Linked DNA regions of Ovis aries. The protein of the gene in region 6 interacts with the protein of the main gene of each other region in a biochemical or structural test. Links are inferred from orthologs where the notes say so. Each region holds a gene or a part of one and is shown on either strand. Other genes may lie near its edges.

Region 1 (3,500 bases), on a different chromosome or scaffold from region 6:
GCGGATTCTTTAATGCCTGTTATTTGGTTGCTCAGTCATGTCCATCTCTTTGTAACCCCATGGACTGCAGCCTGCCAGGCTTCCCTGTCCTTCACTATCTCCTGGAGTTTGCTCAAACTCATGTCCATTGAGTTGATGATGCCAACCAACTATCTCATCCTCTGTCACCCCCTTCACCTCCTGCCCTCAATCTTTCCCAGCATCAGGATCTTTTCAAATGAGTCAGCTCTTGACAATGAATGAATAGGAATAATAAATAATAACAATGAATGGATAGGAATAATATTCATTATAATGGACTATAGTTATATGCATTATAATAAGCTATATTGTTCATTACAGTGAATGATTAACCCCACAGGTAGAGGTTTTATATCACCACAATGTTGTACGTAAGGAGACTGAGGTCCAGGGAGATGAAGTACCTAACCTGAAGTCACACAGCCTGTAAGTAGCAGAGCTGGGCTTCAAACCCAGGTAGCTGGGACCACACTGTTAATCACTCTGCCCAGTCAAGGGGAGGCTGACTTGGCTGATGCTGAATGGGGAAGGGCAGAACCCAGGAAGCAGCAGGATGGGACTCAGGGCACTTGTACTACAAGTTTATTAACTCCATGAACCCACCTATGCCCACTCTGAGGGCTGTGGGAGTGGCCAGGCTCACCTTCCTGCCCTTGTGTGCAGGATGGCCCAGAGGGAGAAGAGAAGCCGAGGGCTGTGTACGGCTCTATCTTTTTGTACCATTTCTTTTCCTCTGGGGGCTGGTAGGGAGTTTGTTGGGTGGGAGGAAATAAAGCCAAAACATTCCCTGACCCGAAACACAGATTGTGAGTGCTGCTTTTAGCCGCATTCAGGCTTCCCCAGGTCAGAAATCAGGGGGCAAGTAGAAGGCCCCTGAACTGATTGTCCAGGGTACTGTGAGATCATACCTTATACAATTTACTGATTTCTCTGAACCAAGGAGTTTTGAATCTAAACACAGCAGTAAAGGCACACACTGTGTGTGAAATCTGAAATCAAAGGACTCCTACTTACAATCATCCCTTTGGCAAAACTGGCCTTAGTTGATGCCAGTTTGAGTTATTTGTTGTTTTGGGGCACTACTCTTGCCTCCTACGCAATGACCAGGCACAAAGCCACCCTCACAGCACAGAAGTTTCAGGAAGCAGGTCACCAACATCAAAATATCCAAATACCTCAAAGGGGTTATTTGAAACAGGTCCCAGACAAGATTGCTTGAGGTCTCTTCCTACAGCCTGAGCCCATCTCATTTCCTTATGGAAGGAGAGAGGAGTCAGGCTTGTGGACAAGATATATTTTGATGGGTATATAAAAGAATCCAAGCTAATGAAGATCAAGTTCAGCAGGTTGTTGTTCTTCAGGGCAGTAACCACTGCATCTTACTTTCACTGACCTAAGTTGGCAGGTCTGGGGGCTGAGAAGGTTTGAACAAAGAGCAGAAGGAAGCCTGGCAAGCCGGGGACGGGGGCTGGGTGAGTTGCTAAGACAATGGCATACTCCAGGGAAGGATGGTGTCCAGTCATGTCTGGGGCTCCCCTGTGTGGTGGGGTGGAAACACAGGGCTAGGAGGACTGGCCTCACCTTTGGTGGTCTCGCTGTCCCGGATCATGAAGGAGCCCAGCACGTTGCCAGGGGCCAGGAGTTGGCGCTCTGCATCTTTTCGGCTGATGCCCTTGAAGAACCACCTGGAGGGAAGGGAGGGGGCAGTAAGCCCGCAGTGGGCAGTCCTGTCTGACTATCAGCATTCTCGCCTGGCATCAGGATTCCAAGGGCCTGGATTCCTCTGGTGTCAGTTTTACTCAAAGATTCTTTGGGGGGAAAGCAGTCATTCCTTTGATATTGACATTTTACCACAAGTGAATCCAGTTCGCTGGGGCTGAAACTTGCAATTTGGGGAGATTTCTTTAAGAAAAATAATACAGCATTATAAATACTAATACAAAATGTTGCTGGTTATTCCAGTACCACCCAACATGAGGGATAAGGTGATGAGCAAAAAGACTGGGTGGGAAAATACAGCAGTCTTAACCAACTGTGGTCAAAAATCTTCCTTTTGCAGACTTCTCTAGTTTGATCAACCTCTCAGGATCTTAGAGGCCCATGTGAGTGAGGGCTGAGCTTTGTTACCATCACAGTTCATCTTCCTCTGTAGATACAGAGTTGAATATGACATCAGCATGAATTTCTAAGCTCAAATGTGAGATTTCAAATAACTTTATACTTGGCACCACATCCCTGGACCTTTCTTCATCCTCCTTGACTATTTGGGATCTTTAGATCCCCCTCAAAAATCTAAGGATAACTTTAAGCAGCAAAAACCAAACTTATTCCCTGAGGAGTAGTTCATGCACTGTGATGGAAAAAGCCCCAGGCCAGAGGTCAACTGGCCTTGACCCTGCCGCAAATCTATGTGTGACTTAGAGCACATTGCTTTCCCTCTCTGGACTTCTGTTTCCTCTGCTATCAACTGGGGAAACAGGCAGTTACCATTTATCAAGCTCTTATTATCCACCCAACACCTCTATGGAATCATTGCCTTTATTATCCCCATTTTACAGATGAGGAAATCAAGAAACAGAAAGAGCAAGTAACTTGCCTGGCATCACACAGCTAGTAAGTGGTGTAGGCAGGATTCAAAGTCAGGCAGTCTAACTCCAGAGCCAAAGGTCCTAATCACCCTGCCACACCCCTGCCTTCCTTGCTTTCATTTGGTAAAGTGAGTCAAGCCATGGTAAAATGTTCAAGCAATGTTAAGGGTACACAGTAAGAGCTGTCCTCCTGGCAATCCCACCCCCAGGAAGTTATCCCATGGATTCTGCACAGGAAGAAATGGCATATACCCAAGGAGACTCAAGGCAGCATGAGACTGGGGACAGCTTAAGTGACCACTGACGAGGGATGGTGGGGCGCCTACATGGCAGACACTGCAGCTGTGAAACGGAGGCACTGTGGCACTGCACGGAAGATCTGAACAAGAGAGGTGGGAGAGGATAGTGTAGAATAAAACGGAGAGAGACAATGTTCTTTGCAGCATTGTTCGCAATAGCCAAGACACAGAAACAACCTCAATGTCCATCAAGAGATGAATGGATCAAGAAGTTGCAGGACTTACATACAATGAAATATTGTTGTTGCTGTTTAGTCATTAAGTCGTGTCTGACTCTTTTGCGACCCCATGGACTGTAGCCCACCAGGCTCCTCTGCCCATCGGATTTCTCAGGCACGAATACTGGAGTGGGAAGTTATTTCCTTCTCCAGGGGATTTTCCCAACCCAGGGATCAAACCTGTGTCTCCTGCATTACAGGTGGATCCTTTACCGCTGAGCCACCACAGACATGATAGTGGAATATTAGCCATGAAGTAGAATAAAACAATGCCATTTGCAGCAACATGGATGAACCCAGAGATTATCATACTGAGTGAAGAGAGTCAGGAAGGGAAAGACAAGTACCAAATGATATCGCTTACATGTGGAATC
Region 2 (3,985 bases), on a different chromosome or scaffold from region 6:
GCCTGGTGGGCTACAGTCCACAGGGTTGCAAAGAATTGGACACAACTGAAGCGACTTAGCATACATGCATGGGAAGCTAAGATCCCAGATGCCTTGCAGCCAAAAAACCAAAGCATAAAACAGAAGCAATATTATAAAAACTTCCATAAAGACTAAAAATGGTCTACATCAAAAACAATCTAAAAAGAAAAAGAAAAGTATGTTACACACTCAAAAGAAAAAATGTAGAAGAGCATTCAGCTTCAAACATTAAACAAGGTCTCGTTCTAGTGAAAAATGAGGAAGTTTGGGGGAAATATTACTTAACAGCACATCTTGAAATACAAGAGAGAAGGAAACAAAGGTTGAAAGGTTCTAAAAAATTTGATAGCTTAGCATCAATTGAACAAAAACCATATTCTCTACTAACTACAGATGATAAAAGATACAACGCAATTATCAACACTCACAATGGACTTAAGTTTGATGTCCCAAATGCTAAAAGGTAGGCCCTGTATGTCAAAAGGCACAGACAAGTCCGCATGAAGGCAAAACACCAATGAAATGATTTATTCTCTCATCTAAGGCCCATCAAATAGATACATCTGGAACATCTTTGGACACAGACTGATTTTTGTACCTCAACCAGCACTTTGGGATCTTGGACAAGAAGCCTGGAAATGTTTGATTTGTTCAGGATCAAGATTGCTGGAGATGACTAGGAGGAGTCAAAGAGAAGGGGGAGGGTTTGGGGAGGGGAGGCAGTGGATCCCAAGTCCGCTGTTCACTTCTTGCCTCTGATTCCCTAGGAGCCTCCTGCCTGTGCTCAGTGGGGATCACCCACTGACAATACTGATGACCTCTGTGTTTTGGTCTCAGAGCTTTTGGGCCTTTCATTCTCTGTCAGTATGTTTCTGCCCCACATGAAGATCAACACGGCTTCCCTGTCTCATTAACCCCTTTGGGGACTATTTAAGCTAAGTCAGGGTGGCCTTCCTGGGAAAACTACAAGGACAGAAACATTACCAGGCATTCGTGTCTGCATGCATTGGGAGCACAGGCCACATCCTGCAAGGACCTTCTTCCAATAGTCCTCCCCTCTCTGTCCATCCATCCACCCCAACCCTTTTGTGGCAGAGGCGGAGCAGAGAGGGGAGGGGGGAATTGAACCCTAGGGCAGTAGCCAAGCTGCTAAACTGCTGACCTGGTTTTCACTGAAGTGCGAGAAGGAGGCTGTGAGGCAGGTAGACAACATCCTGTTGTTGGGGCGCTCCTTTCTCTTTTTTGAACATCTGGCTGAACAGGGAGGCAGGTGGCTGAGTCGTGCCTGGTTGCGGCGGCAGCAGCAACAGCGGCCTTTCCCTGCTACTGTCCCCTGGCCATGGACGCGGTGGCTGTGTATCATGGCAAGATCAGCCGGGAGACGGGGGAGAAGCTCCTGCTCGCCACGGGCCTGGATGGCAGCTATCTGCTGAGGGACAGCGAGAGTGTTCCCGGCGTGTACTGTCTGTGTGTGCTGTGAGTACATGACGGGGCCCTGGAGCCCCCACTGCCCACCGTGCGGCTCACGTCCCTCACTGGGGTTGTCTCGCCTGGGCTTCCTGCTCTTCAGAGGGTCTTCTCCAGCGCCTTTGGGGGCGGCTGTAGGAATGCTCTTTGCAGTGGAGGAAAAGGAGCCTAGAATTTACCTTTGCTGCCAAAAGGACTCAGGCTCCTGGCTTCAGGTTGGACCTCTGGTAGAGGCCAGCAAGGTGGAGGCCTGGGATGAGGGAATGGCCAGATATAGGGCCACCAGCTCCTCAGAGGAGAGGCCTTTCTCTCCAGCCCTCTGGCAATGGCTTTGAAGGTATCTTCCCAAAGGAAGATTTCAAATTCAAGGAGAGGAAGAAGACTAAGAAATGGAATCCTTTAAGACAGCAATACCAGTTAGGTCAGGATGTGGGAGAGAGGGACGTTTCTGAATAAAACCACCTCTCTGGATTTGCTTAATTAGCTTTCTTTACAGGAGTTGGAGGGGGGTGGGGTGGGGTTTCAGAAATAGGGCCTTTCCGTGATAAACGCTGGGAGAGACAATAGTCGTAAAGGACATGGAGGGAAAGCACCCTGGTATGATTCAGCTTTGCCCTTTACCTAAGCATCTCTTGGTCTAAAGCCCCATTTTGAATCAGATGCACCTTCATCTTTGCTCCAGGGCTCCAGGGTCAGGCAGAGCTAAGACCTAATCTTGTGCTAGTCTGATGCTGGCTTTGGCAAGTTAACCTCACAGTCCCTCAGTTTTCTTGTCCAAAAAGTGTAATATTACTACCTACCTCATAGGACTGAGCATTAAATGCTGTAATGCACGTAGAAAATTTAGCACTGGACCTGATGCATACTAAGTGTTCAGTAAAAGTAAGCTGTTGTTGTTATTATTTTTTCACTCTCTTTCAGTACTTTTTATTATAATATATTATATATATATATAAAATGTATATATATTTCAGTCAATATCTTTAAGTACTCACGGGGTGTTTCTAAGGAAGTCCCTAGCTCAATCACTCTTTGTTAGCAGGGTAAAAACACTCATGAAAGCAGCAGCCCTGTACAGTAGCTTCTAGACAGAAACAAAATGAGGGAAAATGCTTGGTTGTAATTTTGGTGTCTGATGATACATGGCAAGATTTTGAAGTTCCTTTAGGTCATTGATGAGAGATTGTATTGAGCCTGGTGTTAGAGGATTTTCATTGTTTATTGTATTATTTTTAAATGGGCAAGGCATATTTGTGGCAACTCTCAGGCCATGCTAAAAACGTTTGTTATAAAAGCTACAAGGGATATATGTGCAAGCTAGTGAATCCCTTGGGCTCAGATTTTAGGTTTTCCTTATATTATTGTTTCTCGAAAGTGAAAACTGGGGTAGGTCAGTGAAAGCCAACTCGTATTCCTAGGCTCTTTTCTTATCAATAGAAGGTGGAGGAGTGAGTGAACTGGTGAGAGGAGCTTCTTTAGGAAAGCTCACCAAAGGAGGTAATGGGACCCTCAACCTAGAGGTAAAAATTAAGGTACAAAAGGCCTGGGAAGGGAAGGAAGAGCCGGGGACAGTGTGTGGCAGGATGTTCCTAAGACTTCAGACGCACTGGCCTCTTTGTTGTTTCTCGAGCTTGCCAAGCTGCTCCTTGCTTAGGATCTTCACACTTAACTGTTCCTTCTCCCTCTTCTCTCAGAGAGGACTTCCTTGACTAGCCTCTAAAATAAGTCCCTTCTCCCTGTCCCAGTTATAATCTGTCACTTTAGTTTTCTTCTGGGAGCTTTCAGCTGTCTGACGTTTGCTTGTCTACTTTTGTCTTGCTGGGCTCTCCTGCTACAATGTAATCTCTCTGGGGCAGAGACACCATCTCCCGCACCAGGAACACAGCCTGGCATGCAACAGGTATCATGAGGCATGCAACAGGCACTCAATAAATGTTTCTGAATTAATGAATGAACTGTCAAGGCAAATTCTTTATGGCAGTAGGCTTTTGGGCTGATATCAGGAGGCCAGGATGTGGCCTCTGGGACATCACTCAACTTTTGTAGGTCTTGGTTTCCATATTTCTAAAACAAGAATAATAATGTGTGCTCTATCTTCTGCAGAAGATTATAGTTGGTAAAAGATGCAAGAGAGAAGGATAATCTTAGCCTATTACTCAAATTGGCCAGGGCCACGTAAGGAATTAACTTAGACAGATGGGAAATTCGCAGATTAAGTTTTTGTCCAAAGTGAATCTTGCCTAAATGCAGTTTTTATGACTGTAGGTTCTCCATGCAAACCTTTTTATGAAGTAGCAGAAAATAGTCGGCAAATTGGGAGTCCCCCTAACATATCTTTCAGTGGGCACACTGGGCCTCCAAGTCCTAGAGGCTAATGGCCAGACTGCTGCAGAGGGAAGACACAATGATACAGTGCCTTTTATGACAGTTTCTCAGCTTTTTTTTGAGCCAAGGATCCCTTCTGATAAACGTAAACATTTCATTTCCTCTTTTTTAG
Region 3 (3,166 bases), about 30 Mb from region 6:
ATGCACTATCCATGGACCACGGCTCATCTTCTCCAAGGACCAGTTGGATGAGGCCTGGGCCGGTGAGTTGGAGACAAGTGGCCTGGGGGCTGGAGCCCGGGTGAAGGCAGGCAGGTGGGTAAGGGCAGGGAGGGGGTCACCTGCTCCTCACTGTCCACTCCCCACAGACGAGAGGTTCCCCTTCCAAGCCTCGGTGGAGTTCGTCTTCTCCTCCAGCCCAGAGAAGATCAAAGGTAAGAGCCAAGCCTGGCAGGGGGCAGGGGGCAGGGGTTGTCTCCCTGCTCCTCACCCCCGGGGCGCCCTTCTATAGGTAGCACCCCACGGAATGAGCCCTCCGTCTCTGTCGACTACAACACTGCAGAGCCCGCAGTGCGCTGGGACTCCTACGAGAACTTCAACCTGCACCATGAGGACAGTGCGGATGGTGTGTGGGGTGCCCCCAGAGGGGGAGGGAGGTGGAGCTTCCTGTGGGGGGACATGCTTCCCTCCCTAGACAGACACCCTCCCAAGAGACACCCCCGAGCTGGAGTCTCCGGCACCATCCCCTGTTAACACACGCGCTTTGTCTGTTTCTCTCTCTCTCTCTCTCCCCCCGCCACTGTGGCCTGCTTGCTATACCGCCCGGATCCTCTCCCCACTCAGACTCTGTCACCCACACCCGGGGGCCCCTGGATGGCAGTCCTTATGCCCAGGTGCAGCGAGCCCCCCGCCAGACCCCACCGGCCCCATCTCCGGAGCCACCCCCACCCCCGCTGCTTTCTGTCAGCAGCGACTCTGGCCATTCCTCCACGCTGACCACGGAGCCGGCCGCCGAGTCCCCTGGCCGGCCACCTCCGACGGCTGCCGAGCGGCAGGAGCTCGAGCGCCTGCTGGGAGGCTGTGGAGTGGCCAGTGGGGGCCGGGGAGCTGGGCGCGAGACGGCCATCCTTGATGATGAAGACCAGCCCGCTGCGGGCGGAGGCCCCCACCTCGGAATATATTCAGGACACAGGCCTGGCCTCAGCCGCCACTGCTCCTGCCGCCAGGGCTACCGGGAACCCTGCGGGGTCCCCAATGGAGGCTACTACCGGCCAGAGGGGACCCTGGAGAGGCGGCGGCTGGCTTTCGGAGCCTATGAGGGGGCCCCCCAGGGCTATGCTGAGCCCTCCGTGGAGAAGAGGCGCCTCTGCCGCTCGCTGTCCGAGGGGCCGTACCCCTACCCGCCTGAGCTGGGGAAACCCACCAATGGAGACTTTGGCTACCGCCCCCCAGGCTACCGGGAGGTGGTGATCCTGGAAGACCCAGGGCTGCCTGCACTGTGCTCGTGCCCTGCCTGTGAGGAGAAGCTAGCACTGCCCACGGCAGCCCTCTATGGGCTGCGGCTGGAGAGGGAGGCTGGGGAGGGCTGGGCGAGTGAGGCTGGTAAGCCCCTCCTGCACCCGGTGCGACCCGGGCACCCGCTGCCCCTGCTGGTGCCTGCCTGCGGGCACCACCATACCCCGCTGCCTGACTACAGCTGCTTGAAGCCACCGAAGGCAGGCGAGGAAGGGCATGAGGGCTGCTCCTATGCCTTGTGCCCCGAGGGCAGGTATGGGCACCCAGGGTACCCTGCCCTGGTGACGTACGGCTATGGAGGCGCAGTTCCCAGCTGCTGCCCAGCATACGGCCGGGTGCCGCACAGCTGTGGGTCTCCAGGTGAGGGTAGAGGGTATCCCAGCCCTCGTGCCCACTCCCCCCGGGCTGGCTCCATCTCCCCTGGCAGCCCGCCCTACCCCCAGTCCAGGAAGCTGAGCTATGAGATCCCTGCAGAGGAAGGAGGGGACCGGTATCCGCTGCCTGGGCACCTGGCCCCAGCAGGACCCTTGGCATCTCCAGGTGAGGCCCTGGGAAGGGGGATGCCCAGGGCAGAAGAGGGTTCTGGGGAATGGTGGGGAAAGCACAGACTGAGGAAGAGCTACAACCCCTTCTCTCCCTGCAGAGTCGCCGGAGCCTGTGTCCTGGAGGGAGAGTCCCAGCGGGCACAGCACCCTGCCCCGGTCCCCGCGAGATGCCCAGTGCAGCACCGCTTCCGAGCTGTCTGGTCCTTCCACACCGCTGCACACCAGCAGCCCCGTCCAGGGCAAGGAGAGGTGCTTCGTGGGGCTGGGCAGCTCAGGGGCCTCCTTATCTGGGTAGACACTGAAGCCTGTGTTGGCAGGCACCTCACACAGGGCTCTGCAACCCAACTAAACTGCCCGCCCTCCCTCCCTGCAGCACCCGACGGCAGGACACCCGGTCCCCCACCTTGGCGCCCACTCAGAGACTGAGTCCCGCGGAGGCCTTGCCGCCTGTTTCCCAGGGAGGCGCTGATAAGGCTCCAGAGCTGCCTGCGGGAAGTGGGCCTGAGCCTCCAGCCCCTGGCGCCTTCTCCTCAGCCTCCCCACCCAGCTCTCCCAACGACTGGCCTCAGGAGAGGAGCCTGGGGGGCCGCTTGGACAGCACCAGTCCAAGGGGGCCTGTACCCAACACCCTGCCCGGCCTCCGTCATGCCCCTTGGCAGGGCCTGCGAGATCCCCCAGACAGCCCGGATGGGTCCCCCCTCACCCCTGTGCCTACTCAGATGCCCTGGCTTGTGGCCAGCCCAGAACCCCCTCAGAGCTCGCCCACACCTGCCTTTCCTCTGGCTGCATCTTACGACATCAACGGCCCCCCCCAACCCCCCCTTCCTGAGAAACGCCATCTGCTGGGGCCTGGGCAGCAGCCGGGACCCTGGGGCCCGGAGCAGGCATCACCACCAGCCAGAGGCGCTAGTCACCATGTCACTTTTGCACCTCTGCTCCCGGATAATGCCCCCCAACCCCCAGGTATAAAGGCCTTCAGGAGGCTGGGGCCACCTTAGGAGAACCCTGGTTTCCAGGGAGGGGCATGGCATGGGGACTGGGGAGCCCTGGGGTAAAGCTTAGTCCCTCCCTGTTCTAGAGCCCCCGATGCAAGAGAGCCAGAGCAATGTCAAGTTTGTCCAGGACACATCCAAGTTCTGGTACAAGCCACACCTGTCCCGTGACCAAGGTGAGAAGCCAGCCTGCCCCTACTCCCTCCGGGCCTCTGGCTCAGCTTCTGGTTTGTGCCACTTCATCAGTGGGCCTCCTCTGGGCCGAGCCTCTTTCTAGCAGATGATTCTGGGTTTTAGGCCCGAGGAGGTCTCACC
Region 4 (3,500 bases), on a different chromosome or scaffold from region 6:
GTAGCTATCTCAGTGGTATTGGCCAAACTTCATGTGAGACCACGCGGCACAGCTGAAACACGAGGTGAACAGACACAAGAAAATCGGCCTGTGTTTAAAGGAAATGAAGACTGTTTCGGTGACCGAACATTCTTTTAAAAACGACCCTCAAATGAAAAAAGTTGTGAAATATGAAAACTGGCTGAAACACTTAGACTCATGTTCTACACTGATAATGCTAGTGAGAGGCTTCAATAATACAGTATTTGTGATAAAACGGTGGATTATGGATGAAGAACTATATTGACTTAAATTTGGGAGATAAAAGAGAAATGTTTACATGAGATCTGTCACTTGGGACCCAGTGACAGGATGGACTGAAATGAAACCTCCGGGTTTGAGCATCTAAACTAAGCCTATTCATACCCTTTATTATTATTTCCTGGAAGAGAAAGAGAATATTGGCTTTGGGAAGTAACCTTAGGTTACATGGAACACAAAATAATTTTAGGTTTCTTGTGTTGATAATAAATGCCTACCTGACAGTAAAAGATTTCTTTCCTTGAAAAATGATGACCGACCTGTCTATTTCTCATACAGGTTCCTTGGTGACTCAAGACAGAAAAATGCAGGTGAGGGTCCAGCTGCCTGGGCTCACCTGCCCCCTACTCTGTAGTCATAAATTTAAGGAATGATGGCAGAAACGGAACAGGAGAAGAGATGCAAGAGAATGAAAACCCACTCACAACACAGATGTGGCCTGGCTGAATTACATTCAGACCAGCGGCAGTTTTGGTTACCACTGTTTCCTTACTAAACAAGTCTATTTTGTATGTTTCTGAAGCCCTCTTTCCCTACATCAACTTTCAAATTCAGAGGAGTATTTGCATGTGAGCTTTCTGGGTATGGATTAGCCTCCTAAAGTACATAATCCCAATAATTATCAGTGACAGAAGGGATGAATAAATCATGCTTTAAGCACAACAAAATTAATGGTAAAAAAGTGGTCTGCGTAAGGTTTTCATAATGCATGTGCCTATTATTAAAGTGAATATTCTATACAACTGATATGACCCTGAAAGAAGTTATTAATCCTGAACTATACCACAGCCTGCTTTGGGATACAGAATAAGATAGAATTTAAATGCTGCGGATGTCACGACGTTATGAAAAGCTTCTTTAATTTAAGCATAGAGATATGATGTGAATTGTAAATTCTAATGGCCTGGATGAGTGAAATATCAAAGCCGTGTTCGTTCTTTCCACCAGAATGCAAAGATTAAGCTTCAGGTCTTGTTCTCAAAATTAAAGCCCAAACCTTCATTCTCTCTCTTTGCTGAGAGCTAAGCTTTGGGGCTGCTAAGTGATGGGAGGCTGTTTTTGTTTTTAATAAAGGATGCTACAGAAGTGCACTTGGAAGCATTGGCAAAGGGCGGAAATGTCCCTGTTTTATTCCTGCTTTTGAAAGCTGGCAAGTGAGTGTAGAGTAGAGCTCTTAATCTTGAGTCTGTGCTATGATCTACTGCAGTTTATGCCATCAAAAGGTTTCACTTACTCATCATATTTGACAGAAGGGAAACAAAGCTGCTTTTAAAAGAAGTTGCCTTGTGTATTGCATTATTTTTGAGGGCAAGTTTATTATGCTTTCATTTGAGTCCGAATGTGGTAATCATGAAACGTATGAGACTCACACACACACAGCCCCTTTTCTCTTCACCATTATTCCCTGCGCAGTGATATTCCCAGGAGGAAGCGGGTGGATGGGGCGGGAGGCATTTCCATCCCATAAACGCCTGCACTGAATGGCAGACCAAAGGATCGCTGCTGTGCGTCTGGACACAGGCCGGAGCACGCACTAAAAGCTCCCAGGCCACATTTACCCCTGAGCGTGACCGTCTCTTACACACACGTGTTTCCTGAGGCAACTATATACAGAACATGGGGTAAGTTCCCTGGATGCAGCTAAGAGTCAGCCGAAGAGAATCCTAGTTTAAACCCGGCAGCGTTTTCCCCGTGACACATCTCCACGCTGCGCTCACAGCTGTCCGCCAACGGTAAGAGTTCCCAGGTAGCGCCGTGAGAGCAAGTGAACAGGGAGCGGACAAAGCAGGCGCCTCTACAGCTTCCTCCTCGATAATGCTCCTCTGACTGCGGAGCCGTCCACTCCGCTCCCAGCTGCCTGACTTCCTGGTATTGTCTGTGTGTGTGGTGGTGGTGGTGGGGGGGGGGGGGGGGAGCGTGCACACATGCCCGGGTGCACGCACAGGAATGCTTATGGACTAGGGCCATTCAGTTCGGACCGCCCTGGACAGCGGCGCGGGTGAACGGAACTGAATCCCAGATGTCTCCTCTCAAATGAAGGCGCTTCAAAGCACACTCTGACTTTTGGGGACTTGTGCATTGGAGCTTCCCTAAACAATTTCTGGTCGCCGAGAGGGCTGTACCTAACAGCTCCTGGAAACATTTCTCAGAACCTTGTTCATGAATTCAGATCATAACGTGTGTGTGTCTGTGTGTGTGCACGTGTGTCTGTGTGTGTGCAGGCGTGACTCTGCCACAGGTCACAGCCGTCCAAAACGGCCTCTAAAAGCCGCGGCCTCAACTGCCAGCTCTGTGAGGGGACTCCAGCCACCATCTCCGACAAAAAGGAGGAAAACCACAGCCTGACTGGGAGGACAGAAATGGGAGGGTTCTTATGCTTATTTCTGGCGAGAAAGGAGAAAAATCCCCTGGGAGGTCTGAACAGTTCTCAGTGTGAAGTGATATTTACCAACACGCTCCCGCCCTGGCGGCGCAGAAAGCTGACTTTGGTCGGGACATGCCTCGCAGACACGGCGTGCCGGGCGGCGCACGGACGGACGGAGCGGAGTCCGCGGCCGGGGCGGCAGCGGGGAGCCGGGCCTGAAGGAAAGCGGCCCTGCAGAGCGCCAGAGCTCCCGGTGCGGGCAAGACAGGCGGGCTCCCCGCACGCGAGAGCCCGTGCCTGTCTGCTCCCGCGGGGCTGAGCTAGGCACGCCCGTGCAAGGACTGCTGCTTCAATGCCTTTTTTTTTTTCTTAAACAGCACATATTTTAAAAAACAGTTAATAAAAAAGTAACCTTAGAAGACGGTTGCACACAACACGGTATACACTCATGGTTAACAAGGAGAACAGTATTACTCTGCGGGAGGAGAGGCCACGTCCACGCGGCTCCGTCACTACGTGATCTTCTTCTTGATGGCCGCGAGCTCTTTCTGAAGTTCGCTGAACTTGGGGCGGTTTTCGGGTTTATAATCCCAGCACTTCATCATGATTTTAAATATGTCCTCTGGGCAGTGCTGAGGGGCTGACATCCGGTATCCTGAAGACACAAGAGAAGGACAAAGAATTTAGGATGGGGATAACCAGACATCACTGTTCACACAGGGCATCGCGCAGTTTGCAGTACCCTATGTTGTCGGTTAACAGAAACAAAAATGCCATTTTAGGGCAGGCTGGTTTTTTTTTTTTTTTCCTGTAAGTAATGCAGGTTTTAATATTA
Region 5 (2,858 bases), on a different chromosome or scaffold from region 6:
TATGACCACAACATCCCTTATAAGTGGACTGCCCCAGAGGCACTCTCCCGAGGGCATTACTCCATCAAGTCTGACGTCTGGTCCTTCGGGGTTCTCCTCCATGAGATTTTCAGCAGGGGTCAGACGCCCTATCCAGGTACTGGGCCCCAGCATTGCAGACTGTCATTAGGGCAGTAGGGGGCTGCCTCCTTGTCACACCACCCTGCACCACTCACTGGGTATCTTCCAGGGCCACCAGCCAAAAGAGGGCGGTAGGAGTGCCAGGTGTGCAGAGGGTACTGGCCTCCTGCCTCCAGAGCCTCTTTGTACCATCCACCGTAGGCATGTCCAACCAGGAGGCCTTCCTGAGGGTGGAGAGCGGCTACCGCATGCCCCGCCCCCCAGAGTGCCCGCCCACCACACACAAGCTGATGCTCTCCTGCTGGCACAAGGACCCTGAGCAGAGACCCTACTTCAAAGGGCTGTGGGAGAAGCTCTCCAGCTTAACAAGGTACGAGAACCCGCTCTGAGCTCACAGCCTCCCTACAGATGCCCAGAGGCCAGGCCAGCCCTCATGAGTGAGGCAAGGCCTGAGGGACCTCAGATCATGGCTGTGGGCCACCCTGATTCACTGAGGATTTGCTGAAGGTATGGACCACTCCCAGAACCAGCTGGACACTCCTGGGAAGGGGCTCTGGCAGGCCTGGGCCTACGCCTTCCCCAATGCAGCCTGGAGCTGGGACTGTCCCTTTCCCCGACGCCAGCACCTGCAAAATGCCAGGCACCCCACAGCCAACGTCTGCTCTGGAGGCTCCAGGAGCCAGATCACCCCTTTCCTCAAAATGGACCTGTCCCTGGTCCTGACTTGAAGCCCACCAACTAGCAGGACCAGGGTCAAGCCTCCCTGGCCGTGTGGTGGGGACCTAGGCTTTGGCTGCACCCCCTCTGGCCCCTGGCCCTGCCTGAGCCTCAGACTTGAGGGGGCATGATTTCCCAGTCCTCTGCAGAGATAGGCACGGACACCTGCTCCCCGGGGCCAGTGCTGTTCCTGTCCACCTGCCCTGGCAACACCTGCCCTGGGGTGTCGGGGTCTCATCTGGACAATGTGGCCAGGACTGGGTGGGGGTCATGCTAATCCTTGAGGTGGACCCCCCACTCAGCCTTAGCACTGACCACCAGCCTTCCCTGCGACCACAGGAGAGCCTGTCCCCCAAGCCTGCAAACTGCCTGGACACACAGAGGACAGGCAGGACAGATGGTGTAGGCTTTAGGGGCTTTTAGCCACCCAAATGCCTCGGGATGGACTCATGTGACTTAGAATGGAGTTGGGGAGGGGTGGCCAGAGGAGGATGGGCCCCTCCAGCAGAGTCCGGCCCTTGAAGCAGGGGAGGCCACCCCTCTAAGCCTCTGACTTCACACCAAAGCTCTGTCCACTGCCTCACTGAACTGCCCTCTCCTGACCCCACACCCCAGTCAAACTCTGCTGGCCCTGAATGTGGACACCACCAGCCCACCCCCCTCAGGCCTATCCCAGGAGGCTGGCAGAGGATGAGGACCCCTCTCCCGCAACACCACACAGTCCTGGAGTCAGACTCTGCCCAAAGCTGGGATTCCCTGGTGAGAGGGACCCACAGGAGCCTCCCACACTTGCTTCCTGTCTGCCTCAGTGGGGTGCCAGGGGCCTCAGATCCACTCTGGGGATTGGGGGCCCTGTCCAGAGTGTGTCCTACAAGAGAAAAGGGGAGGTAACACCCATAACAGAAGACATGTGGGAGAAAAGTTTGAGGACTGCCTCCTCAAGGTCCTCCAGGGGGCACCGGCATCCCTCTGACCCCAAGGTAGAGACCCCACCGGCCTCCTATAGCAGCAGCAGGAGGGGCCAGGGGTGGAATCACATAGAGGGCTCTGACCTCGGCAGCTGCCTTGGAAGCTTCTGCTCCAATTCTTGGACTGCCTGCTCTCCCTGATTTCCCAAAATAGCCAGGCACCCCACCCCTTCTCAGATGCAAGGCTCCACACTCACTGGAGCTGTCTGCCCACATGAACCTGGGCCAGATCTCAGAGGACACCCCCTAGGAGGGGTTCCAGGAAGGCCCAAGGAGCATGGCCAGCTCTCTCACACCTGGGAATGAGAAGGTTGAGGGTTAGTGACCTCTCCCTCGGGGGTGGGGGAGCACACGGCTCTCTCTCTCTCTCTCTCACACACACACACCAGGCTGCTCACTCCTGGAGTTTATTGTCCACTTGGTGCAAGGCACAGGGTCATGGGGTGTGAGGAAGGCGCGTTCGTGTGGCTCGGATAGCAGAGAGTGGTATTCTCTCAACTTCCTTTTTGGTGTTTTGCTGTTTTGATATTAAAAACCAAACTGCTTCCCCTGACTGCAGCCTGCTTGGTCTTGGGGAAAGGAGGGGAAGGGAGGGTACAGGGGAGGGGGAGGAAGAGGGCTCTGATGAGCCTAGCGCCTTGGAAGGAAGCCTGGCAGCTGGTGGTGGTGACTCAGGACGGGGGCCTGCAGTTGGTTTTGCCAGGCTGGCCGCTGGGCTGCTGCTTCCCCACAGCTTCCCGAGCCAGGTCACAGGTGATCGTGCTGGTGGAGGCCTGGGCAGACTCCGAGCTGGGGGAGAGCAGGAAGTCAGAAGCTGTTTCCACTTGTCCCCGCCCCTCCCCCCACACTGGTCCCCAGAAAGGCACACTCACTGCTCTGGAGACTCCAGCACTGTGGCCATGAACGGGAGAGTGGACTTCCCGAAGAAGAAGCTAGCCCACCAGTGTCCGGGGTCTGCTTTGGGGAGACCTAAGAGGAGCAAGGCAAAGTCAGGGTGCTGCTGTCACTCCCTGGGCACAGACCTGGGAACAGAGGAGTCACTGCACTCACCTG
Region 6 (3,500 bases):
GGAACTATGATGTAAGAACCACTCCCAGCTGCGTAGTGAAGGACTGGAGAAAAGGAAACTCAGTAACTGCTCAAAATGATACCACAATTTGAGAGACCTGGAATAGCCTCAACTCAGGGGAGTTTCATTCAGCAGAGGGACTCAGGGAGGGTTGCTGAGCCAGAGATGGGGCCATGTCTTGGGATATGCTTTGGACTCCAGGACTGGATGCCATGGAAGGGTCTGAAACAATGTTATATGTTGAGGCTGTTGGAATTGAGCCTCCAGTGGGAGTCTCCCAAGCTCCCATTTAAGGAGCTGACTTTCTTCTCCAGGTGTAAGGGACCAGAGCTACAAGACTGTTTAGGCCAACTGCTGCCACTAATCAGGTATGGTGGGCTTAGAGGTATAGGGACCTGGGGATATTTGGGGAAGCACAGTTACTTCCTGCAAAGAGTTGAGTGTATTCATTCTGGCCTTCTATATATAGGCTACTATCATGGGACTCAGGGACACAAGAATCCACGTTTCTGGCCTTCCCTTCCTAAAATTAACTTGCAGTGGTCTTGGGGTGGAGATTGAGGTTAACCCCTTCATTGCTCAAGGATATATGCAGATGTGCAGGTTAACTTCTTGCCCAAGATCTGTTCTATACATTTAGTACAGGTATAAATGACATTTGTACAGGGAGCGTAGACCCAGGATAATTCTGGGCTTCTCTGTTCTGCAGCAAAACCCACCTGGCAATGGCCTTAACAGTGGTAGTCGGGTTGGCAGTGACTTTCCTGATCCTGGGCAGCACTTTTCTCTATTGGCGTGGACGCCAGATTCAGAATAAGAGGGCTATGAGGCGCTACCTGGAACGGGGTGAGGTGAGTGTCTATCTTACCCTGGAAACGTGCCCTATACCATCATCACCCTTGGAGAGCCTCTTCCTTCCCCAGAGCCTTGATCCCTTTCTTCAAGGAGGCAGTATGGTCCCCCGGAAAGGACTCTGCCCAGAGAAATGGGAAACTCCTGATTTTGCCATTAATTTGCCATGTGACTTTGAAGAAGTTACCTTCCTTCTCTGCCTGTTTATGCACATATACAGAGGAAACAATAACATTCATCCTTACAAGATGGCTGTAAGGGTAAAAGGGGATTTGTGAAAATGCTTTGAAAAACAGAAAATGTATAAAAGTACTCAAGGCATGGCTTGAGCTCCTTCGCTGGTCACCTGACACTATCACAACATTGTTGATTGGCTGTACTCCAATATAAAATAAAAAATTCAAAGTCTGAAAAATTAATCAACGTGATAGTATTACCAACCCTCTCCCCTACCCCCCTATCAAAGGGAAAACCTAACCCTCTTGATTCCTGATCTCATGAACACAACTTCCTCAGTCCTCAAGGTCTGTTATGCTCCAATAGGCCTGAAATGTTTTCTAAGACTAGAGACATTTCTCCTCCTGTTCCCACCCCTTCAGGCTTTGCTGCTCTTGGCAGGCACCTGTGGCGAGGGGCCTGGAGATGGACATGGGAGTGGGCTTTCCTGAGTACCTCCTTCCCATCTGTTCTGCAGAGTGTAGAGCCTCTGGATCCCAGTGAAAAGGCTAACAAAGTCTTGGCCCGAGTCTTCAAAGAAACAGAGCTGAGGAAGCTTAAAGTGCTGGGCTCCGGCATCTTTGGAACTGTGCACAAAGTGAGTGGCCCACAAGAAGATTGGGGAGGTGGGGAAAGGATCTAGGGCAAGGAGAGAGATCAGGGAAAGATCTTTTCATTCCATACCTTTTAATAGTGTTCTAGGTCAGACTTCAAAAACTAGCAAACTCAGAAAAAAAGAGATCAGATTGGAGAGATTGGAGGTTACCAGAAGTAGAGGTGGGATAGAAAAGAAAGAAAGTGAAGTCGCTCAGTCATGTCCAAATCTTTGCTACCCCATGGAGTACAGCCCATCAGGCTCCTCTGTCCATGGGGTTTTTCAGGCAAGAATACTGGAGTGGGTTGCCATTTCCTTCATCCAGGGGATCTTCCCAACCCAGGAATCAAACCCAGCTCTCCTGCATTGCAGGCAGATGCTTTAACCTCTGAGCTACCAGGGAAGCTCAGGTTCTCCATTGGGGTAGGAGGAGGAGGAATTGGATGAAGGCAGTCAAAATGTATAGACTTACAGTTATAAGATAAATATGTACTAAGTGATGTGCATGCATGCTAAGTTGCTTCAGTTGTGTCTGACTCTTTGCGACCCCGTGGACTGTAGCCTGCCAGGTTCCTCTGTCCATGGCATTTTCCAGGCAAGAATGCTGGAGCGGGTTGCCATGCCCTGCTCCAGGGGATCTTCCTGACTCAGGGACTGAAAATGCATCTCCTGCAGTTCCTATATTACAGGCGAATTCTTTACTGCTGAGCCACCCGGGAAGCCCACTAAGTGATGTAAAATGTGATAAATGTAATTAACGCTGCTGTATGCTATATATGAAAGTAGTTAAGAAAGTAAATCCTCCTAAAAGTTAAGATTTCTCATCATAAGAAAAAAACTTCTATTTCTTTAATTTTGTTTCTCTCTCAGATGATGGATATTCACTAAACTTATTGTGGTAATCTTTTCATGATACATGTAAGTCAAGTCATTATGCTGTACATCTTAAACATATACAGTGGTATATGTCAATTATACCTCAATAAAACTAGAAAAAGAAAAAAAAAAGATCCAGGGAAAGGAGTAGCCTGGGAAGAATGACCTTAGGCTGACTCCTGCCCAAAACTTCCCAGGGCGTGTGGATTCCTGAGGGTGAATCAATCAAGATTCCAGTCTGCATTAAAGTCATTGAGGACAAGAGTGGACGGCAAAGTTTTCAAGCTGTGACAGACGTAAGTGAAGGCAAGGTGTTCGGTGTGCCACTAGGAGAGGATAGCTATTAGATACAATTATGTAGAAACACGGTCTTGTGTTAGCAGGTACTATATTAGCCACAGAGATGTCCCTGAATGTTGGGGGAGCCCTGGTCTGGTTTTATGTGAACCTGTCTGTTCCCAGGATGACCTTTCTTGTTGTGTCTTTTAGCACATGCTGGCCATCGGCAGCCTCGACCATGCCCACATTGTACGGCTGCTGGGACTGTCTCCAGGGTCATCTCTGCAGCTCGTCACTCAGTACTTGCCTCTGGGCTCCCTGCTGGATCACGTGAGACAACACCGTGGGGCGCTGGGGCCACAGCTGCTGCTCAACTGGGGAGTACAAATTGCCAAAGTGAGTGCGAGGAGCCTGGAGGAGTTTTAAGACAGAACTGCCTACAGGCCTGCAGGGAGGGGCCCAGGGGCTTGGAAGTGTTGAGAGGTGCCTGAGGGTTTGAGGTGATTCTGGGACTCAATTGAGAACCAATTTCTCCAACTTTAAGAAAACTTCCTTCCCTACAGGGAATGTACTACCTTGAGGAACATGGCATGGTGCATAGGAACCTGGCTGCCCGAAATGTGCTACTAAAATCACCTAGCCAGGTTCAGGTGGCAGATTTTGGGGTTGCTGACTTGCTGCC
Region 7 (3,500 bases), on a different chromosome or scaffold from region 6:
CTGCATTGCAGTGAATAATCTGCCCCTGCACTGTCAGCAATGGCACCAGGGTTAATCATCAGAATTTGCTGATGTGCTTGGCACCAGTGGGTGGAAAGTGTTCCAAAGTTAAAGAAGGGCACGCTGGTATTTCCAAGTGATTCAGCACAAAAGAAAAAGATGCCTGAAAACTGTAATTCTCAGCAACCCACCTTCAACGTTTTCACAGCAACTGTAAGGCTGTATTTCTTCCAGACGCCAACGTAAACCTCTCCATACTGACCACCCCCAAGTTTGTGCTTCATGGTAATATCTGTTCGTTCCATCTCCCACTTATCATGGATGGGGGACACACCGTAGACTGTAGGCTTATTACACTTGGGGGCCGGATAGTGCAGGGTTGTCACCAGCCCATCAGCCACCGTGGAGTGATGGTGAACAAGCTCGGCCAAGGTGCTGAAGCGGCTCTCGGCAGTTACATATACCTGGTGAGCAGAGCGGAGAAAAATAAACCAACTGAAAAGGGGTCATTATCTCACTGCTCTCAAGATATGAAAATAAGCAGCACTAGTCACAACAGCCAAAACATGGAGACAACCTAAACGTCCATCGGCAGATGAGTGGATAAGGAAGATGTGGTGTTGTGTATGGCAATGGAATATTACTCAGCCATAAAAAGGAACAAAATAAGGCCATTCACAGTGACATGAAAGCAACTAGAAATGAAGACAGTCAGAAAAAGACAAACACCCTGTGATTTCACTTATATGTGGAATCTAAAATACGACACAATGAAACAAAATCACAAACAGAGCGAACAGACTGGTGGTTGCCAAGAGGGAGGGAGTCGGGGAAGGGAAAGAATGGGCGCTGGGGACAGCAGGTGAAAAATATCATATACAGAGTGGATAAACAACAAGGTCCTACTATATTCAATATTCCATGATAAATCACAATAGAAAATAATATAAAAAGAACACAGATATACATATAACTGAATCACTGTGCTATATGGCACACATTAACACAACACTGTAAACCAACTATACTTCAATTTTTAAAATGCTGATTTAAAAAAAGATGAAAATAAGGCATTATCTTACTGAGATAAGTGGAAGAATTAGGGAAGAATTTAACCATGATGTTGCAGGGGTGGGGGTGGGCAGAGAACTTCACTTTAATCTCATTTAAACTACTCTTCTTACGATTCCTAAAGTAGCTCGAGTCTTGAGGGGAAAAGCTTCTATATCTCAGGATCATCAAGATCACTGGTCTTCAAATATTTTTAAGCTAAATGACTAAGGAGCCCAAATATGGAAGATAAAGGAAGAGAAGCGCTGATTAAAGTAGGTAAGAGGGGACTGGCTTCCTGTAAAAGTTTATGAACTCCCACCTCAGAATCTTACACAGAACATAATTTGAAAACCACTGATTTTAATTTTTTTGGTAGAGAGAGGATATTCAAATATCTTATGATTTTTATTTCATTAAGAGGCACTTTTGAGTGCCCAAGCAATTTTTTAAAAAGAGCCACAATTTTATCTCAGAAAGTAAACAAAACAGTAGTTAATATGTGATAAGCAAGAAGAAGGATGAAGTAGGATAGCAGTCTCTAAGCCTTATCTTCCAAGGGAGCTTGTTTATTTTCTTAAAAAAGAGATTCTAGAGTATACAGAAGAGCATATAATTAATAAATGGAGAACAGACGAGTCCTGTAAAGTGAACTCACCCATGATAAACATCTCCCACCCAAGAGAATCACAGTATTACCAGCACCCAGCAGCCTCCCTCCTGCCCTCCGAGCTACTGACCCCGCAAAGGTAACCACTCTGCTGACTTCTAACGCCTTAGATTAGCTTAGATTGTGAACTGTACCTATGCAAACGGAACCACACAATAAGCATTGTTTTGTGCCTGTTTTCTGTCACCCAACTTTTTTTACTGTGATATAATTCATATATTTCACCACAAAATTCACAATTTCAATTGTGCAATACAGTGACTTTTAATAAATGCATTGATTGTCCAACCATTACCACTATCTAATTTCAGGACATTTTCATCACCCTACAAAGAAACCCCAGACCCATTAGAGGTCATTCCCACTCCCCTCATCCCCTTCCTCAGTAATCACTAATCCCTTCTACTCAACTTTATGTGTAAGAGATTCATCTATGACTGTTCTAGAGGGCCGGATACTAAGCATTTTAGGTTTGTGGCCACAGCATTTCTGTCGTTACTCAAGTCTGCCATAATACTGAGAAAGCAGCCATAGACAACACATACACAAATGGGTGCATCTGCATTCCAGTACAATTTTATCTGCAAGAGTAGGCAGCCAGTGGGTCATGGTTTTTGCTAGTAACGTGTGTAGTAGAGCTGCGTTCACTTTGTGTAAGATTCCTTTTTACAAATATACCACAATGTATTAATTCAGTCCACTGCTGTCAGACAGCTGAGTGTTTCTAGTTTCTGGCTACTACACGTAACGCTGCTATGAACATTCCTGTACATGTCTGCTGAACACACATGCACTCACTTCTGTTGGGAAGACAACCAGAAGTAGATTCTGCTGAGTGGCCCTTATATCATCACTTACCTGATTCTATTTGGTTTCATGAAGAAAAAAATACGTCTTATAGGGTGGTGCAAAGAAAATTAATAATTTACTGTTTCCTACTTTTTACCAGCCATTATCTTTTATTGAAATTATCTCACTGAATGCTGCCAATAAAATGGGATGGGAAACTGAGGCTTAAGTAAGGTCACAATGTGAATAAATGATGGAGTTACCCAGCAAACCAGATTTGCTTGCTCTAAAGCCTATGCTTTTCCCCTACTATGCATATCATAAAGAGAGAAAAAGTGGAAGAAACAATTCAATCTAAATTTACTATTCAAGGACTTCCCTGGTGGTCCAACACTTAAGAACCTACCTTGCAGGGCAGGCAAAGCAGGTTCAATCCCTGGTCGGGGAACTGAGATCCCACAGGCCACAGAGCAACTCAGCCTGCACACCCTAACTATAAATTTACTGTTCAACAGAAGAACGGACATAAATCTACTCTCTACCATTTATAAAGCAAGACAGTTCCACTCTAACATAGCCATTCTTATACGGTTGGTCTTTCTAACCTGCAAAGTGCTAAATGACTGACTGATCTATTTATATTAACATACATTAATGACCAATATCAGTCTCAGAAGCCTAAAGTTTTACTCTTTAAACTTTCTGGTAGAGATTATTATAATTTTCATAAATGGTTTAATTTATAAAATTCCACACAATGTATTGGATGTATATGTGCATATCTGTATACTGATAAGTTAACTTATACAGCTGTTTCCTTCATTTTTCACCTTCAAATCTAGTTCATCTTTAAACTCTTGATGTAATACTGTTTTTAATTTCCATTACCATACTGTCTTTTTTGTTTTGTTTTGTTTTGTTTTTTTTACCATACTGTTTTGAAAAGAGTAAGCGCTCTCTCATGTGCCAAACAGCTCAAACTCACATCAGT

What was found.
Region 1: the proteins of ERBB3 (region 6) and HCK form a complex in vitro, tested with the Homo sapiens proteins (2 studies listed by BioGRID and IntAct, with this or other methods). The link is inferred for Ovis aries from reciprocal best matches to the Homo sapiens genes ERBB3 and HCK.
Region 2: the proteins of ERBB3 (region 6) and SH2D1A form a complex in vitro, tested with the Homo sapiens proteins (2 studies listed by BioGRID and IntAct, with this or other methods). The link is inferred for Ovis aries from reciprocal best matches to the Homo sapiens genes ERBB3 and SH2D1A.
Region 3: the proteins of ERBB3 (region 6) and TNS2 form a complex in vitro, tested with the Homo sapiens proteins (2 studies listed by BioGRID and IntAct, with this or other methods). The link is inferred for Ovis aries from reciprocal best matches to the Homo sapiens genes ERBB3 and TNS2.
Region 4: the proteins of ERBB3 (region 6) and FER form a complex in vitro, tested with the Homo sapiens proteins (2 studies listed by BioGRID and IntAct, with this or other methods). The link is inferred for Ovis aries from reciprocal best matches to the Homo sapiens genes ERBB3 and FER.
Region 5: the proteins of ERBB3 (region 6) and PTK6 form a complex in vitro, tested with the Homo sapiens proteins (2 studies listed by BioGRID and IntAct, with this or other methods). The link is inferred for Ovis aries from reciprocal best matches to the Homo sapiens genes ERBB3 and PTK6.
Region 7: the proteins of ERBB3 (region 6) and ABL2 form a complex in vitro, tested with the Homo sapiens proteins (2 studies listed by BioGRID and IntAct, with this or other methods). The link is inferred for Ovis aries from reciprocal best matches to the Homo sapiens genes ERBB3 and ABL2.

What each region holds. Positions count from the first base shown.
Region 1 is NC_056066.1:61,253,584-61,257,083, reverse strand, and holds part of HCK (tyrosine-protein kinase HCK), read right to left. Parts: intron 1,707-3,500; coding exon 1,603-1,706; intron 1-1,602. UniProt on the Homo sapiens protein: Non-receptor tyrosine-protein kinase found in hematopoietic cells that transmits signals from cell surface receptors and plays an important role in the regulation of innate immune responses, including neutrophil, monocyte, macrophage and mast cell functions, phagocytosis, cell survival and proliferation, cell adhesion and migration.
Region 2 is NC_056080.1:108,291,315-108,295,299, forward strand, and holds the start of SH2D1A (SH2 domain-containing protein 1A), read left to right. Parts: upstream 1-1,185; 5' UTR 1,186-1,360; coding exon 1,361-1,497; intron 1,498-3,985.
Region 3 is NC_056056.1:133,381,162-133,384,327, reverse strand, and holds part of TNS2 (tensin-2), read left to right. Parts: coding exon 1-62; intron 63-167; coding exon 168-233; intron 234-310; coding exon 311-424; intron 425-642; coding exon 643-1,854; intron 1,855-1,957; coding exon 1,958-2,108; intron 2,109-2,232; coding exon 2,233-2,822; intron 2,823-2,937; coding exon 2,938-3,027; intron 3,028-3,166. UniProt on the Homo sapiens protein: Tyrosine-protein phosphatase which regulates cell motility, proliferation and muscle-response to insulin. Phosphatase activity is mediated by binding to phosphatidylinositol-3,4,5-triphosphate (PtdIns(3,4,5)P3) via the SH2 domain.
Region 4 is NC_056058.1:105,761,793-105,765,292, reverse strand, and holds part of FER (tyrosine-protein kinase Fer), read right to left. Parts: intron 3,321-3,500; coding exon 3,178-3,320; 3' UTR 1-3,177. UniProt on the Homo sapiens protein: Tyrosine-protein kinase that acts downstream of cell surface receptors for growth factors and plays a role in the regulation of the actin cytoskeleton, microtubule assembly, lamellipodia formation, cell adhesion, cell migration and chemotaxis.
Region 5 is NC_056066.1:53,836,427-53,839,284, forward strand, and holds the end of PTK6 (protein-tyrosine kinase 6), read left to right. Parts: coding exon 1-136; coding exon of another isoform or gene 137-169; exon of another isoform or gene 170-315; intron 316-321; coding exon 322-509; 3' UTR 510-2,241; downstream 2,242-2,858. UniProt on the Homo sapiens protein: Non-receptor tyrosine-protein kinase implicated in the regulation of a variety of signaling pathways that control the differentiation and maintenance of normal epithelia, as well as tumor growth.
Region 6 is NC_056056.1:163,438,690-163,442,189, reverse strand, and holds part of ERBB3 (receptor tyrosine-protein kinase erbB-3), read left to right. Parts: intron 1-314; coding exon 315-368; intron 369-709; coding exon 710-851; intron 852-1,546; coding exon 1,547-1,666; intron 1,667-2,736; coding exon 2,737-2,835; intron 2,836-3,028; coding exon 3,029-3,214; intron 3,215-3,381; coding exon 3,382-3,500. UniProt on the Homo sapiens protein: Tyrosine-protein kinase that plays an essential role as cell surface receptor for neuregulins.
Region 7 is NC_056065.1:59,883,531-59,887,030, forward strand, and holds part of ABL2 (tyrosine-protein kinase ABL2), read right to left. Parts: intron 465-3,500; coding exon 192-464; intron 1-191. UniProt on the Homo sapiens protein: Non-receptor tyrosine-protein kinase that plays an ABL1-overlapping role in key processes linked to cell growth and survival such as cytoskeleton remodeling in response to extracellular stimuli, cell motility and adhesion and receptor endocytosis.